2 linked regions of the Rattus norvegicus genome follow. The protein of the gene in region 2 interacts with the protein of the main gene of each other region in a pairwise test. Links are inferred from orthologs where the notes say so. Each region holds a gene or a part of one and is shown on either strand. Other genes may lie near its edges. The genes, in order: Abhd5 and Plin1.

Region 1 (7,293 bases), on a different chromosome or scaffold from region 2:
ATTTTTATAAGCGTTGTTTTTTGTCACAGGATTGATATCTGCATTTGCTGGTCTGTGACTGCAGACCCACTCTGGGGTGCAGGAACAGAGGGCCAGGGGTTGGTTCATGTTAGGTCAAGAAATAGAATCCTGTTTCCAATATCCCCGGGAAGTTTAGATGTCTGATTCTAATTGTTGATCTATTCCAACACAAACATTCCCAAATGCCAAAGGTTTAATAAGAAATTGAGGATTACCATTTATAAAGCCCCTTTGGACTCTGCCAAACATTTGAATAAACAAAAGCTTTGTTCTGATCTGACAAAAATAAGTATATAAATAAGTGTATTATTAAATAGAATCTATGTGAGACAAAGCAGCTTCAGAGCTGGTTGTGGTGGTGCATGGCCGCGATCCTGCCACTTGGGAAGTAGAGGCAGAAAGCTCAAAAGTCCAAGGCCACAACTTCAAAAAACTTAAGAAATGCCATGCGGGCTGAGGAGATCACTCAATGGGTAAAAAACACTTGCTGTACAAACATGAGGACCTGAGTTCAGATCCTAGTACCCATGTGAGGAGACACGTCCTAGCATCCCAGGAGCCGGACTCTCCAGAACAGCAAGCTTCAGGCCTAGTGAGAGACCCTGTGCCTCAGGAGTAAGGCAGAGAGTAACCTGCCTGGCTGCCCTTCCTCATCTGGCTTCCACATGCAGCACACACGCACGCACACACACACACACACACACACACACACACACACGCACACACACATGCGTGCATCACACCAACATACAAAATACCATGACCTTATATAAAGAAGATAACAATCAATGTTGGGTTACAGAAAACAAAGGAAAACAAAGGGAAGCAAGGAATGTGTTTAGTAAGCATGAGAATATGGCTTTCCAGAGTTAGAGTCAGGTGCACAGACCTAAGTGGAAGCCACACAGATTCCAAATGGCTTTGCAGTCAGGCTGGGGACAAACCGTAACTAACAAAGGAAGTAAAAAAATGAGCTACGGGCAATGGTGTTACCAACCCTACAAATGCCCTAGGAAAGAACAAGAGTGTTTGAAGTAGGTGGCTCCTGGGTAGTAGTGGAACGAGAAAGGGCAGGTTGTTAGACTCTATGGGGACTTGATAATTGATTTGCTATCCAGAGGCAACAAAGGGAACAAATCTGACAGAAGCCAGTTCTAAGAGTGTAGATAACCAGAAGAATGCAACTGCCTTCAAAAAAGAGTAGAGGAGTGAGCTGTGCACTTTACACTGATTAAAGGAAGGAAGACATAAGTAAGGTATGGCCTAACCATGTTGAATGTGAAAAAGTAGATACAAACAGCTGGCAAACACAAACAGTACCCTTACTCCAGTCCAGAAGAGAATGAGATCTCAGTTCTTCAAAGAAAAGATAGTTCAAGAACTGTTCATAAATTAAAAAAAAATAAAAAGACTATAATACGCTCATGGGGAATTCTTGTATTTAGAAAATAATTAAAAGAATAGAACCTAATAAAACTAATTACCGGTCTCGGTTAAGAGAGTAAACAAGTATGAGTTAGCTGTCTAAATAAGAGATTCTCTATAGTACTGATCACTGAAGAGGACACAAGAGGGCTGGGGGATGTAGCTCAGTGGCACAATGCTCACATGAGGTCTTGAGATCAGGGTGTGTGTGTGTGTGTGTGTGTGTGTGTGTATGAGAGTATGAGAGTATGAGAGGTGTGTTTCTGTGTGTGTGTGAAAGAGTAGCAAATAAGCACAGGCATTGGGATTAGTATTGAAGAATTTCATGATTTTTAAAGTCTTGGGGCAAGGATTACAGAGCAGTAGCAGCAGGAGAAATGTATAAATCTTAGTGTTTTAGGAGGTACAATAAAGAAGTTCATCTTTAATCTCCAAAGCACAGGAACATACAGAGACTTTAACACATATCCAGCAGGATGCTGGAAAATCAACTGAGGCAGTAGAGAGAAATCGGTCTTACTTAATAAAGTATGATTTTCCATGGTATAAATACTCCCACGGTGGCTGGTTTCAGGATGCTGGTGCTGTAGAATTCCTGAACATTCAGCAATGGTACAGATCAACTCCAGCATGCCCTGAAAACCACAAAGGTTCTTGGTCTACTCTGAATGGTGAATTTCTGTGATGGCGTTTTCCCCCACACTCTACCAGTACATAACTCTCTGGGATATCATTAAAGCAATCCCCAGAAATCTACCCTATTCTTGTTATATTTGGCTTTCTCAACTGTATTGCAACTGAAAGGGATAGGATTTTGAAAGCTTCCCAGTAAACTTGTCTCCACGAAGAGCCACAAAGGGGAAGAATTATATGCTCCAAAACGCTGTAAGCTGGCAGCTTATAATGGCTTGCTTTATTAACATCATCTCCCCATGTGTATAAAGTTAGAAAGAAATGTGAGGGAAACGCCTTAAAGCTCAATTTAGACACCTGAAGAAGCAGGTAGGCTCCAATTAGCTCTGCTACTCGGAGGTGGCAACTCCAGATGAAAATGGGAGTGGTCAGATTCCCCACACCAGGGAGACTCTAGGACTATCATGTCCACACTGATGGAGCACCCAGCAGGAACCTAGCCTTCTCTCTGCTTGCTTGGTTGTGCAGCACTGCTCCAGGGTCCTGCCAAAAATACCAGGGAGGTCTACCTCTGTCTAGGGACTGTGGCCAGTCTTGCCCTCAGTGACCTCCAGCCATCACCCATGCTCTGTCACTCTTACTGTCGTGCTACGGATTCCTGAGCCTCACAATTCCTGAGTCTCACGGTATCAAGACCAAAAGGGCCCACAAGTTAGAACTCTCGGAGCCAGAAAATGTCTTGGCAAATTTAATAGAAACACAGGTCCTGGTTGTACCACACGACACTCTGTATTTCATATCAATGTAATTAGGAAGTTCAACAACAGACCAAAGCAGTGAGCTCCACCTGTTAGTTATCACTTAAACAAAACTTGGAGAGTGTAGTTTCTAATGTTTCAAAATATTCCTCCCCTAACATCTTTCCAAAATACTTGGCTTTCACATTACCAGAATCTATTTTCCCTATGCAAATGTCTCCAACTAGCTGAAGTAGAACTTGTGAAAGTACTTAATTTATAAGTATAGTCCTGTCCATACAAAACAAGTAGCCTTCTGAGGATCATAGTGAAATAAAACTTCCATAGTAATTTAACTTTTCCACCAAGCATTATTCTACTCACAAGGACACGTTATATCAAAGACAGACAGAAAAGAATAACTTAAGATGTCTATCAAAAAGTTGGGTATGGTGGTTCCCACCTGTGATCCCAGCACTGGGCAGCTGAGGCAAAGGGATTGGGTCTCTGTAGATCTGAAACAAGCCTGGTCTACAGATTTCCAGGCCAGCCAGGGCAAACACTGAGCGACCCCGGTTTTCAAACAAACAAAACAAAACAAAACAAAAACTTAAAGGGCTTCCTGTTAGGCATCTGCCCTTCAACTTTCACAAAGTTTGCTGCCGAGAAGACTCCAGCCGACTTTTCTAATGAAGCCAGACCGCCGGGTCACGGGAGCGCACAAGGCAGCGGGAGGTGGGACGCGAGCGCCCCGGGTCCTGAGCTCCCACACCGCCGACGGACGGCCGTCCCGAGGGACTCCGCGTCCGACGCCTACTCCCACCCTGGCGACGCCCAGCTCACGCGTCCAGGGAAGGCGGCCGGGACCCGGCGCGGAGTTCCGAGCTCCGCCGAGCTCCGGACCGCCCGGACGGCCGCCCTCCCTCCCCGTAGCCCCGCGGCCCGGGCGCTGCCTGTCAGCCCCGACGGACCGGGAGAGCGGACGCCCGCGCCTTCCCTCGGCTGGCCGCCCGGGGTCGCCAGAGCGCACGAGACCCACGCCGTCCCCCTTCCCGGGTGATCCTCACCCTCCACCGGCGTCTGCCGAGTCCACCTCCTCCTCCGCCGCCATCGCTTTCATCACTGCCGCCGCGCAAGCGCAGGAAGGCACCTCGAAGCCGGCTGACAGGCCGACTGGGCGGCCCCCGGCCGCGGCCGCCCTTAAGACCGCGCCGCCCGCGCATGCGTCGGCCGCGCGCCGGGACGATCCGAGGGCGCGGCCGCGCCACGGCAGGCTCGGCGTCCCTGCAGCCGGGCCTCACAGATACGCATGCGCTGCCCGCCTGTCGCCTGTCGCGCGGAGGCGGGGGCACTGGTTAGGAAGGTCAGCCCGACGCCGCGGGAGCCTAGGTAGTCATCCATCAGAATAATGACCATTAATGCGTCATTCCGCCGGGCCGGACTGCCCTGGACGGCGCTCTAGGCAAGCCATCCACAGCCTGAAGTGAGATGCCAGCCAGAGACAGCCTGAGTCCGAGACACAAGGCAGAGGTGCGCATCCTCAGCGTGGTGGTGGCCCCTCCAGCCCTTCCTTTCAGGAGGTGGCCACTGGGAGAGGGCGGCTCACTGGACCCTACAGTCCAACCGCAGTCTGAGTGGACACTGCTCTGACCCTAACCTGCACTCCCCGCTGCCAGACTCTAGACATGAGAAGTCTGAGAGCATATGTGTAGGTACTAGAATTACACACACACACACACACACACACCATTACCACCCACCATGATCGCGGGAGGGGTGCGGGGGGAGAAGCTTCCTAGAATCCATTCTGAAATGATAGAGGTCTGAGGGCTCATAAAATATTCTCAAATAAATATTCTCGTGAGCTGGACGTGATGGTACATGCCCTTCACAACAACACTTGGGAGTTGGAGGCGAGCACATTTCTGTGAGTTGGACCAACCTGATCTACATAGAGAGTTCCAGGCCAGCCAGAGCTACACAGTGAGACCCTGTCTTTAAAATAAATAAATGTAAAGGGGACGGGGCTCGAGGGATGGCTCCGTGGTTGAGGGAGCATACTGTCCTTATAGAGGAGAATGGAGTCTATTTCCAGCATCCTTGTGCAGCCCCCACAACTGCTTGTAACACCAGTTCCAGAGGAGCAACACCCTCTTCACCTCGGAGCACCTTAATGTATATGCACATACAGACAAGCAGGCACACACATAAACATAATTCTAAAAAAACAAATCTTTTTAAAACCATAAACCACCACCACCACCCCACATGGGATTATTTTAATTCTTTTCTGGCTCAGGGACGTTGGCGAGTGAGTGAAAGTGACAGAGAGGGAAGCTCAGCACAGGAAAATAGAAGCCGGCAGCTAGCAAGGCTAGTGTTTAAGTCCAAGGCTGTGTTTTAAAAATAGAATTTGGAACCATGACACTCACTGTGATTAAACAATATAGGCATCCTAGTGTTGCATAAGGGATGTTTCCCTTGGCTGGGGGCAGGTCCCTCGGGTCAGGAGAAAGTGGTATGAGGTAGCCTAGCTCTTTGTGCTCCTGATGAGCTGCTCAAAGCTAGGGCTGTGTAGCTCAGTGGGCCCTCTATGCATCAGTTCCTAGGTCCAATTCTCATTACCTCCCTTATCCCCGTGCCCCAAAAAGTGAACTTCTGAGAATATGTAATAGGTTCCTTAGTTCAGCCACACCTGGGTGCTACTGATGCCTGGGGCTGCTCAGGAGCCTGATGTACGCTGACTGAGTTTTCAAATCATTCTTTTTTAAAGATTTATTTATTTCATATATGAGTACACTGTAACTATCTTCAGACACACCAGAGAGGGCGTTGGATCCCATTACAGATGGCTGTGAGCCACCATGTGGTTGCTGGGAATTGAACTCAGGACCTTGGGAAGATCAGTCAGTGCTCTTAACCGCTGAGCCATCACTCGAGCCCCCAAATCATTCTAATGAGGCCACAAATGTGTGGCGCGCCCCTTTCACAGAGATCTAACAAAGGGCAGGTGTGCGGATATGGGTTTGAACAGAAACACTCCCGCTACCCTCTGGATTTTTTTTGGGGGGGGGAGGCAAATGGATGATGTAAATATCAACGTTTTTATTCCCTTCATTACTTTAATTTAAAATTACCTTTCTCCAATCATCAGCTTCTACCTACTTGTGAGGATGTATTCACTCCCACATACTTACCCACAGTTAGCATACCCTTACTCTGTAACCGCAGTGTGTTGAGGCTGGGATGACAGGACTCTGGCCTTCATGAAGCCCATGCTACCCTTTATTTAAGACCCCATCATCTTTCTCCATCTTAGACCACGTTAGCCGCTGTAGAGGAACACCTCGACGAGTCATTTACAACAGACAGGTTTGTCTCTCGTGGTGCTGGGGGCTGTGAGGACTGCCATGCTTCTGTGGTATACAACGAGGGCCTTTGCTGTTCATCTCATGGCAAATACAGCAAGAAAGGGGCCCAATAAGAAACCTACTCCCCCAAAACTGACTCCCAAGATGAAGGCATTAATTGATGCATGAAAGGAGCATCACTGTGGCCCAAATTCTGCCCTTAGGGCTCGCCTTTCAATACCACTACATGGGTTGAGCTTCCAGTATGAGAACGCTGGGGACATATTTAAACTTCTGGCTTTCCTCCCTCACTGCAATCTTTTTTTCCCATCTCTGAGACCCACTCCCTGTAGTTCTCAATTTTTTTTTAAGATTTATGTATGTGAGTACACTGTAGCCGTCTTCAGACACACCAGAAGAAGGTGTCAGATCTCATTACAGATGGTTGTGAACCACCATGTGGTTGCTGGGAATTGAACTCAGGGCCTCTGGAAGAGCAGCCAGTGCTCTCAACCTCTGAGCCATCTCTCCAGCCCAGTTCTCGGACTTTCTCCAGTGGTGGCAGCTTCGTAGAAATCATCATACTGACTTTATGAGCGTGTGTTTGGGTTCGGGGTGCCCATGCTGTGGTTAGTGTGTAGCAGTCAGAGAACGCTGTGCTGGAATTGGTCCTCAGGTGCCAGACTTGGCAGCAGTCACCTTTCCCCACTGAGCCATCTTGCTGGCCCATGCTTACAGCTTTTTAAACGGATATTACCAGATACCGTTTCCGTGACAGCAAAAGCATTTTGAAGTTGTGGTATTGTCTGTGGTTTAAAGGAAGGGGAAGCTACCCATAACCTCTTAAACATGGTGGTAAGTAATATGCCTCATTCTGTCTGATATTTTAGGAAGATGGAGACCTATAAAAAATAGTTTTATAGGAACTCTTGGCTGTTGCTAACAGCTTGTAATGAGTCTTCAAAAACTGATAATCTCTACCTTACAGGTTATAACCAGCCTATAGACCAAAAAGTTAATTTTTTGTGTGAGATGAAACATTTGTCCTGATGATTTTATTTATATTATTCAGCCTCAGAGAGGAAACAATATGGCTCCAGTCAGACCACTATAAACTTGTGGCGACT
Region 2 (7,120 bases):
TTACAATCTGTCCAAACCATTCCTGCTAAGGAGCTCTGCAGCAGCCTGGCAGTGGCTGGCTAGCTTCTTCCTGGAGAGGCCTGCCTTGAGTGCACGGCAGTGTTTCACAGGTATCTGTTCTGGTACTGTGGATCCTACACATTAGAGAAGGTGTTGGGAGGGTGGAGGACTGCCATCTTCTAGAGTCTGTAAACCTCAGTGGGCCTCGCTACTTCATATCGTATGTCTCTCCTCAACCCTCTCTACCTGGGTCCACATTTATGAGAGGTTTCAAACACTGAAAAGCCCAGAGGGGCTGTGTAACTGGACTTGCGGCTAATTCGAGAGTTCTTTTTTTTTTTTTTTAAGATTTTTATTTATTTATTATATGTATGTACACTGTAGCTGTCTTCAGACACACCAGAAGAGGGCATCAGATCCCATTACAGATGGTTGTGAGCCACCATGTGGTTGCTGGGATTTGAACTCAGGATCTCTGGAAGAGCAGTCAGTGCTCTTAACCTCTGAGCCATCTCTCCAGCCCCGAGAGTTCTTTTCTTTTCCACACTTTTCCACCTCTCTTCTTCCCCTTCAACCCCCTAACACTGGGTAAGAGAGAAATAAATCCCCGAATAAAGTCAGGTAGGAAGAAGGGCAACCATATTATTAGACTGCTCCCTGCCGATTAGGGGCATTGAGTTCCTCAGGGTGTGTTTGATCTTCACCCAGGATATCTAACTTCTTCTTTTCGTCTCTTTGCACACAACTACTTGGCAAACCACAACCAACCATTCCCAACTGCAACCAGCAGCATCCAGGCATGAGGTAAATCATAGTCACCGGCTCTGAAGCAGCCCCAAATCCCCAAACCTGGGATTAAAAGGAAAATATTCCCGTACTATTCCTGTGGTTTTTAAAGAAACCAACACTGTCGACAAGACTGCACAGGGCAGCACACTGACAGTTGAGCATTGCTGCCGAGCACTGACTCAGCAGTGGGGACCCTGCTTGGCTTGGGGGCCCGCCTGTGCACAGAATGGCCAAGAGCCCTGCTCTCCTGTAGTGGAGGGAGGGGAGCTGCATGAGATAGCTCGTCTCCGCCCATCCCCCTATAGTTGGAGAGCTGCCTCTCCCCCTCCCCCTCAGGATTTGCCTGGTTCTTTCCCTGGTCACCTTTTACCCACATTCTAGAATCTGTACCGAAGCAGCCAAAGGACCAGCTTTGTCAGCAGAGCTTTTAGGCACAGTGCCCTGTATCCTCTCTGGCCCAGAGCCACTGCCCGGGGAAGACAGACTGTCCTTTAGCCTGGGCTGTGCCCAGATGCGAGCCTCCAGATCACCCGTCCTGAACCTTGAAGCAAAGGGAGAGGCCACTTTACACGCTTGCCGCCTCCTCCACTGCTGTAAGAAGACAGCAGCAGCTCAGACCAAGATTAAAAAGTATCCAATGCTGCACACATTCATTACCTCTTTTGGAAGCTCCTTGCTCCACACCCCTCCCTTTCCTGGCATCTTGTTCCCTGTTTTATTATATACTAAAGATAAAATTTACCACCAAGGATCTATCTGTAGCTGTTTCTCAGATCCTTATTACATTTATGCATGTGTTTGGATTATGTGTGTGGCATGTACTCTGACTTACACACACACACACACACACACACACACACACACACTTATACACGTGCTCAAATGTCACAGCATGCATATAGAGGTCAGAGGACATCTTGCCAGGGTTACTTCTGTCCTTCAACTTTGGGGGGCCCAGGGATTGAACTCAAGCGGTCAGGCTTGGTGGCAATCACCTTGACCTGCTGAGCCATTTTGGCGACCCTGCCCAGTGCCTTTCTATCCTGTTGCCCACACTAACAACTTAGTAGACTCAATAACATGCAAATCTGCTAAGTAGGGACTAACATTAATGCTGTGCTCTCATTCACTGTGATTAAGAGGTGTAAAGACACCGGTTGGCACCACAGTGTTCCATCAACTTTAATCAGGAACTAAGATTTGAGCTTGGCTTGAGTCCCTGTTTTTTTTTTTTTTTTTCCGGAGCTGAGGACCGAGCCCAGGGCCTTGCACTTGCTAGGCGAGCACTCTACCACTGAGCTAAATCCCCAACCCCCGAGTCCCTGTTGAGGAAGGAATGGCAGCAGATAGTTCTTGGCTGCCTAGGTGCTATTGGTTGGCAAAAACAACCAACCAAACAGCAAACAAACAAACCCAGCTTGTCAACACCTTTACTTGTCCAGACTTAGGTGAACAAAACCAAATAGTTTCGTCCCTCTTTCCCTCTCTCCCTCTCTCTGTTCCTCCTTCCCCCTTTCCTTTCCTCAGTGCTGAAGATCAAAACCAGAGCCCTCCACACACTAAACAAGCAAGCCCTCTGCCATGGTGCTCCACCCCCCAGCCCCTGAGACACAAGCTTGCTGTTCAGCTCAGGCTACCCTCAAACTGTCAGTTCCACCTCAGCCTCCTGCGTTCTGGGAGTTGTTCTGTGGCTCGTGCCATGGTATCCAGCTTCAAGAGGTTTTCTCTAGCTTTGGAGGTTTACAGAGGATGAAACTACTCCTCAGAACCCAGGTTGCTAAGAAGTCAACTCTCACTGCTCTATCTTGTCTCTCTTTTGGCCGGAAATTAATCTTGATAGCGGTAGACTAAACATTAAGGTGAACCCTATCCCTGTGTGGGTTTGAATCATGCCGTTCAATAGTCATCCTTGCTAGCAAACAAGAAAGGATGGGGTAATGATTGAATATTGTCCCATAAAAACTTCTCTGGAAAGGGACCAAAGATTATAGAATTACATGGAACTTTGAGTTTAGGAGTTTAATGAGCCACATTGCAGTGGCTTCTTTATGGAAAGCAATTTTTTTTTGTCAATTGAGAGCCAGAAATATTCTGGAACTACCATCTCTGGGCTCTGACAAATGAGTCCTTCAGCCCTGAGAACCACCTCTTTATTGGCTAAGTATCCTCCATAGAAGTTAGGGTGAGCCCAGGGGACACCCTGGCTCAGACAGCTATGGTGACGGGCTGGCCCAGCTTTCTCTTCCTCTTTGCCCTCCTCCAGCTGGGAGGTCTGAGAGGCATTGCCCAAGATTCCCTGGAGTGGCTGGAAGTGTTTCTGGGGAGGAGACCATCCACAGCTGGGTTGTCTGAGATTGAGGTGGCTCTCAGCTGCAGTGAGTGTAGGGTCCTTGGGTGTCTGCCTTACCTGGTTGCTTTCTCAGTGTTAAAGGCAAGGAGCTGGGAGAGAGAGCATCTGGGGAAATTACCAAGGGATGCAGAGATCTGCAGGGAGAGCCCTGAGGAAAAGAATAAAAGACCAGGGGCACAGGGGGACCATTGGCTTACCCAGAAGACAGCTCTTTGCGAGAAGGCTTAACTTAGCTGGCAATAGAGGGAAACAGGGGTTAACTAGAATTTTGTTGTGAAGAAAAGACTAAACTCTACCCAACACTCATTCTTTAGTCTCTTTCAGTGTCTCTTTTTAAGAGTCCCAGATTTTGTTCTAAACTGTTTCTCCCATCTCATTCTCTTTGTCTAATTGCCTCCATTTTCATCTACCTTGAGCCCTTTAAAAAAAGATCACTTTTGAGCTCATTTTGGGCAGACTGGGGGACTTGTGTTGGGACTCCAAGGAGCAGCCTTTCCTAGATGATATTTGCCCTCCAACCTAGGCCAGCTGAGCTCAGGATGGCTGGAGGACAGCTGTGAGAGGTAGGGAGGGAACCCATGGAATACAAGCCTGCCGGCTTCTGATGGATCTGGGATTCTGCTTTGCAGTGTGAAGAGTAAGGATGTCCATGAACAAGGGCCCGACCCTGCTGGATGGAGACCTCCCTGTAAGTGACCTGGACTCCTGTGAGGTGGGGAATGGGCCACCAAAGGGGGAGGGATGAACAAGTAAGATGTCTGTCTACCTTAGGTTCCGAACTCAGTGTCTCTGTTATTCCTGTCCTTGCCACCTTTCACGGGTGTTTGGGAGAACGGAGGGGAGAAGAGGTGGCTATAGAAGTCTAAGAACTGTGGAGAAAAGAATAGGAATGCGGGCTGGGGCCTCAGGAGAGACAAGGGGAAGAAACCTCCTGGTCCTAAACCCAGAAGAGTGTGCATGTCCTAGAGAGTCCATTGTTCTGTGGCTTCAGCTTGAGCCCGTGACCCTCATCTGCAGCACGAAGCCTGTGCGACCATGCGTGGGAATGAATTGGAAGTTTAGTGTGTCCAGTTTTTATCTCTAGCCCTGGTTTTGAGTAATTCTGATACTTTTATGTGTTCTTGATATCTTTTGCCTCTTTGCTTTGGGCTGAGTTCAGATAGTGAAATTCAGGCATGTGACCCTGGAGGAGATGAAACTCATTCTATTAGGATCTAACTAAGCTCCGCACTAGGGGCGACTGCCTTGTTTTGTACTGAATCAAGAGAGAGGTGTCAGTGGGTCACAAGAAACCTTAACCCTTCTAACTAACGATTAGTGGTTTCTTCCATTTCCCTCTCGTTTCTCCTTTAGCTTTGTCCGAAACAAGCCTTGAATGCTCTGCCCAAAACGTTGAAGAGGGTGTTTCCTTTTGTAGTCAGAATCCCTTTCTCCCTCTGATATCTGACTCGCTTGCAGGATGAAAAGCTAAAATCGTGTGGGCTGCTTTGTTCAGGAGCCCAGGCAGCCTTCCCTGATGGCTCTGTTAACTCCTCCTGCAAGTAGGGTAGCATCTACGGCAAACTACAGTAAAGATTAAGAGAGCTCAAGGCAGTATCCTAGAGCATTATAGCCTCCACTGAATGTTGTTTCCTACCCCACGACGAGAATCACTCTCTCACTCACAGATTGGGCCTTTCTAAAATCTAATCATGCAAGTGCTGACAAAGCAAAATGCTTTGATAACATAGCATCCAAATAAGAAGAGATGTCCACACCACGTCCCACAGGACCAGGCTCATCGGACTATCAGCTTAAACATGGAGTGTTGTATTTTAACGAAGGCCATGCCAAATTTTAGAGTGTCAAGAGGAAAGGATCGCAGGTCTGTCCAGTGACCCATTTATAAACTAAGACAGGAACTGGCCAGGCGGTGGTGGTGCATGCCTTTAGCCCTAACACTTGGGAGGCAAAGGCAGAAAGATCTCTGTGAGTTTAAGGCCAGCCTGGTCTATACAGTGAATTCCAGGACAGCCAGAGCTACACAGTGAGACCCTGTATCAAAACAGGTACTGGGGACTAGCGGCCATTCTCCTGGGAGAAAGGTAACCAGAGCAGGGTGGCAGAGGAAGACAGCCCAAGGGCAGACATAATCATAAAGGCAGAGAGCCAAAAATTGGTCCTAGCGGCACACGACACAGGCTTTTAATCCCATCACTGGGAGTTCAAGGTCATCCTCAACTATATATATAGAGTTCAAGGCTATCCAGGGTTACAAGAGATGTGCACCACCTGTCTCACAGAGGAGGTCATAGAAGAGAATAATATTCTATTACACCAAAAGGGATGGGGGAGGGGAGGAGAGCCTATTTGGCAGTGGTCCAGCATCCAGACGCAGGTCCAGCATCTCAGAAGGACCTTGAAAATGTTTAGATGAAGATATGAGTTGAAGGTGGACTAAACTTCCCAAGCATTATCTTTCTCTCTGTAGTCAGTCAAGAGGGATGAGTTGGGAGGAGATGGGATTTGGCTTGGTTCCCAGAGAACACGGATTGCTTGAGAATTTCTCCAGAGTCCAGGAAGGCATAGCAGGCTGGGTCCCATGTTTTCTGTTGGCTTCCTCGTGCTCTCATGAGCAGGCCATTTGGAGATACGTTGCTTCCTTTAGACTTGGGCTGGCCTCGATAACGTGACCCTTGCATGGTTCTAGCAAGGGTCAGCTCTCTGGGAGGTAGAGTGGGGGTGGGAGTATCTGACTCTTTCTTTGCTGACAGGAACAGGAGAATGTGCTCCAGAGAGTCCTGCAGCTGCCTGTGGTGAGCGGGACCTGTGAGTGCTTCCAGAAGACCTATAACAGCACCAAAGAAGCCCACCCCCTGGTGGCCTCTGTGTGCAATGCCTATGAGAAGGGTGTACAGGGTGCCAGCAACCTGGCTGCCTGGAGCATGGAGCCGGTGGTCCGCCGGCTCTCCACCCAGTGTGAGTCCTCAGAGAACTCCGTGGCATCCTGCCCGTCCACTGATACTCCCCGCATGTCTGCCTGTCTGCTTGTCAGTCTGTCTGATCATCTCACAACTCATTTGTCCACCTCCCTGACTCCTTCCCTTGCTTATCTATATCCAACTTCCTGGTCTTCTCCGCTACAGACATATGTCTATATTTGCCTCAGTTGTAGCCCAGCCTAACAGCCAAAAAATGCTAGGGGGTTGAGGGAGTAAGAGAGGGGGAAGGTGAGCAACGATCTGTGAGCAGCGGTGAGAGTAGGGCCAGTGGCAGGACATTTAGCCACCCCAACTCCATATGCAAGAAAAGCAGCAGTATCCCGAACCAGCAGAATCTCGCGCGAAAACTGGCCTAGCAGCGCTGAAGGTTCAGGGATAGAGAAGGCCCACTCATCCAGCTGCTGCTGATACTGGTTCCCGACAGGTGGGGGCAGCAGAGAGCGACTGGCGGCAGAAACAAGGGTCCATCCAGGCTCGCCTCATCAGGCTCGCCCCATCTGCGTCATTCTGCCTCCATCTGAAAGTATGGTTTCTAAGACTTATTTTGGCAGGGCTGAGGGAACTCTCAGCAGCACCGAGAAATCTAGCACCTTCTATCATCCTGATAGAGGCTTGCGGGTAATGTGAGGATTCTACCCAGCAACCAGGTAAAGAAGACTTTAAGGCTCCACTTAAAATCTGTGGTCACATAGATGGCCCTGGCTGAATTCTGTGAGCGATAAAACAAAACGAAATGATAAGAACATGAGACACGAACATAGGGGTTGACAGAAGTGGGAGGGGGATTGAGAAGACGCAGGGATAAGAGTAGAAAATACACCACATGCGTGAATACGGTTGTCCAAGAAAAAGTACATTCAATTACTGATAAGATAATAAAAATGTCTCAGGCCCTAGGCTAGCCCTCCCAAAAGCCTTCATTCTGTTCAACCAAAAGACAGCCAAGTCCTCTGGGCTTTTTGTTACTTGAAAGAAATATGAAAGAGTGTCTATAAATACC

The links.
Region 1: the proteins of Plin1 (region 2) and Abhd5 interact in a protein complementation assay, tested with the Homo sapiens proteins (3 studies listed by BioGRID, with this or other methods). The link is inferred for Rattus norvegicus from reciprocal best matches to the Homo sapiens genes PLIN1 and ABHD5.

Annotation. Positions count from the first base shown.
Region 1 is NC_086026.1:130,874,555-130,881,847, reverse strand, and holds the start of Abhd5 (1-acylglycerol-3-phosphate O-acyltransferase ABHD5), read right to left. Parts: upstream 3,977-7,293; 5' UTR 3,937-3,976; coding exon 3,884-3,936; intron 3,693-3,883; exon of another isoform or gene 3,280-3,692; intron 2,082-3,279; exon of another isoform or gene 1,967-2,081; intron 1-1,966. UniProt on the Homo sapiens protein: Coenzyme A-dependent lysophosphatidic acid acyltransferase that catalyzes the transfer of an acyl group on a lysophosphatidic acid.
Region 2 is NC_086019.1:143,082,177-143,089,296, reverse strand, and holds the start of Plin1 (perilipin-1), read left to right. Parts: upstream 1-3,148; 5' UTR 3,149-3,164; exon of another isoform or gene 3,165-3,220; intron 3,221-3,768; 5' UTR 3,769-3,782; coding exon 3,783-3,827; intron 3,828-5,892; coding exon 5,893-6,097; intron 6,098-7,120. UniProt on the Homo sapiens protein: Modulator of adipocyte lipid metabolism. Coats lipid storage droplets to protect them from breakdown by hormone-sensitive lipase (HSL). Its absence may result in leanness. Plays a role in unilocular lipid droplet formation by activating CIDEC.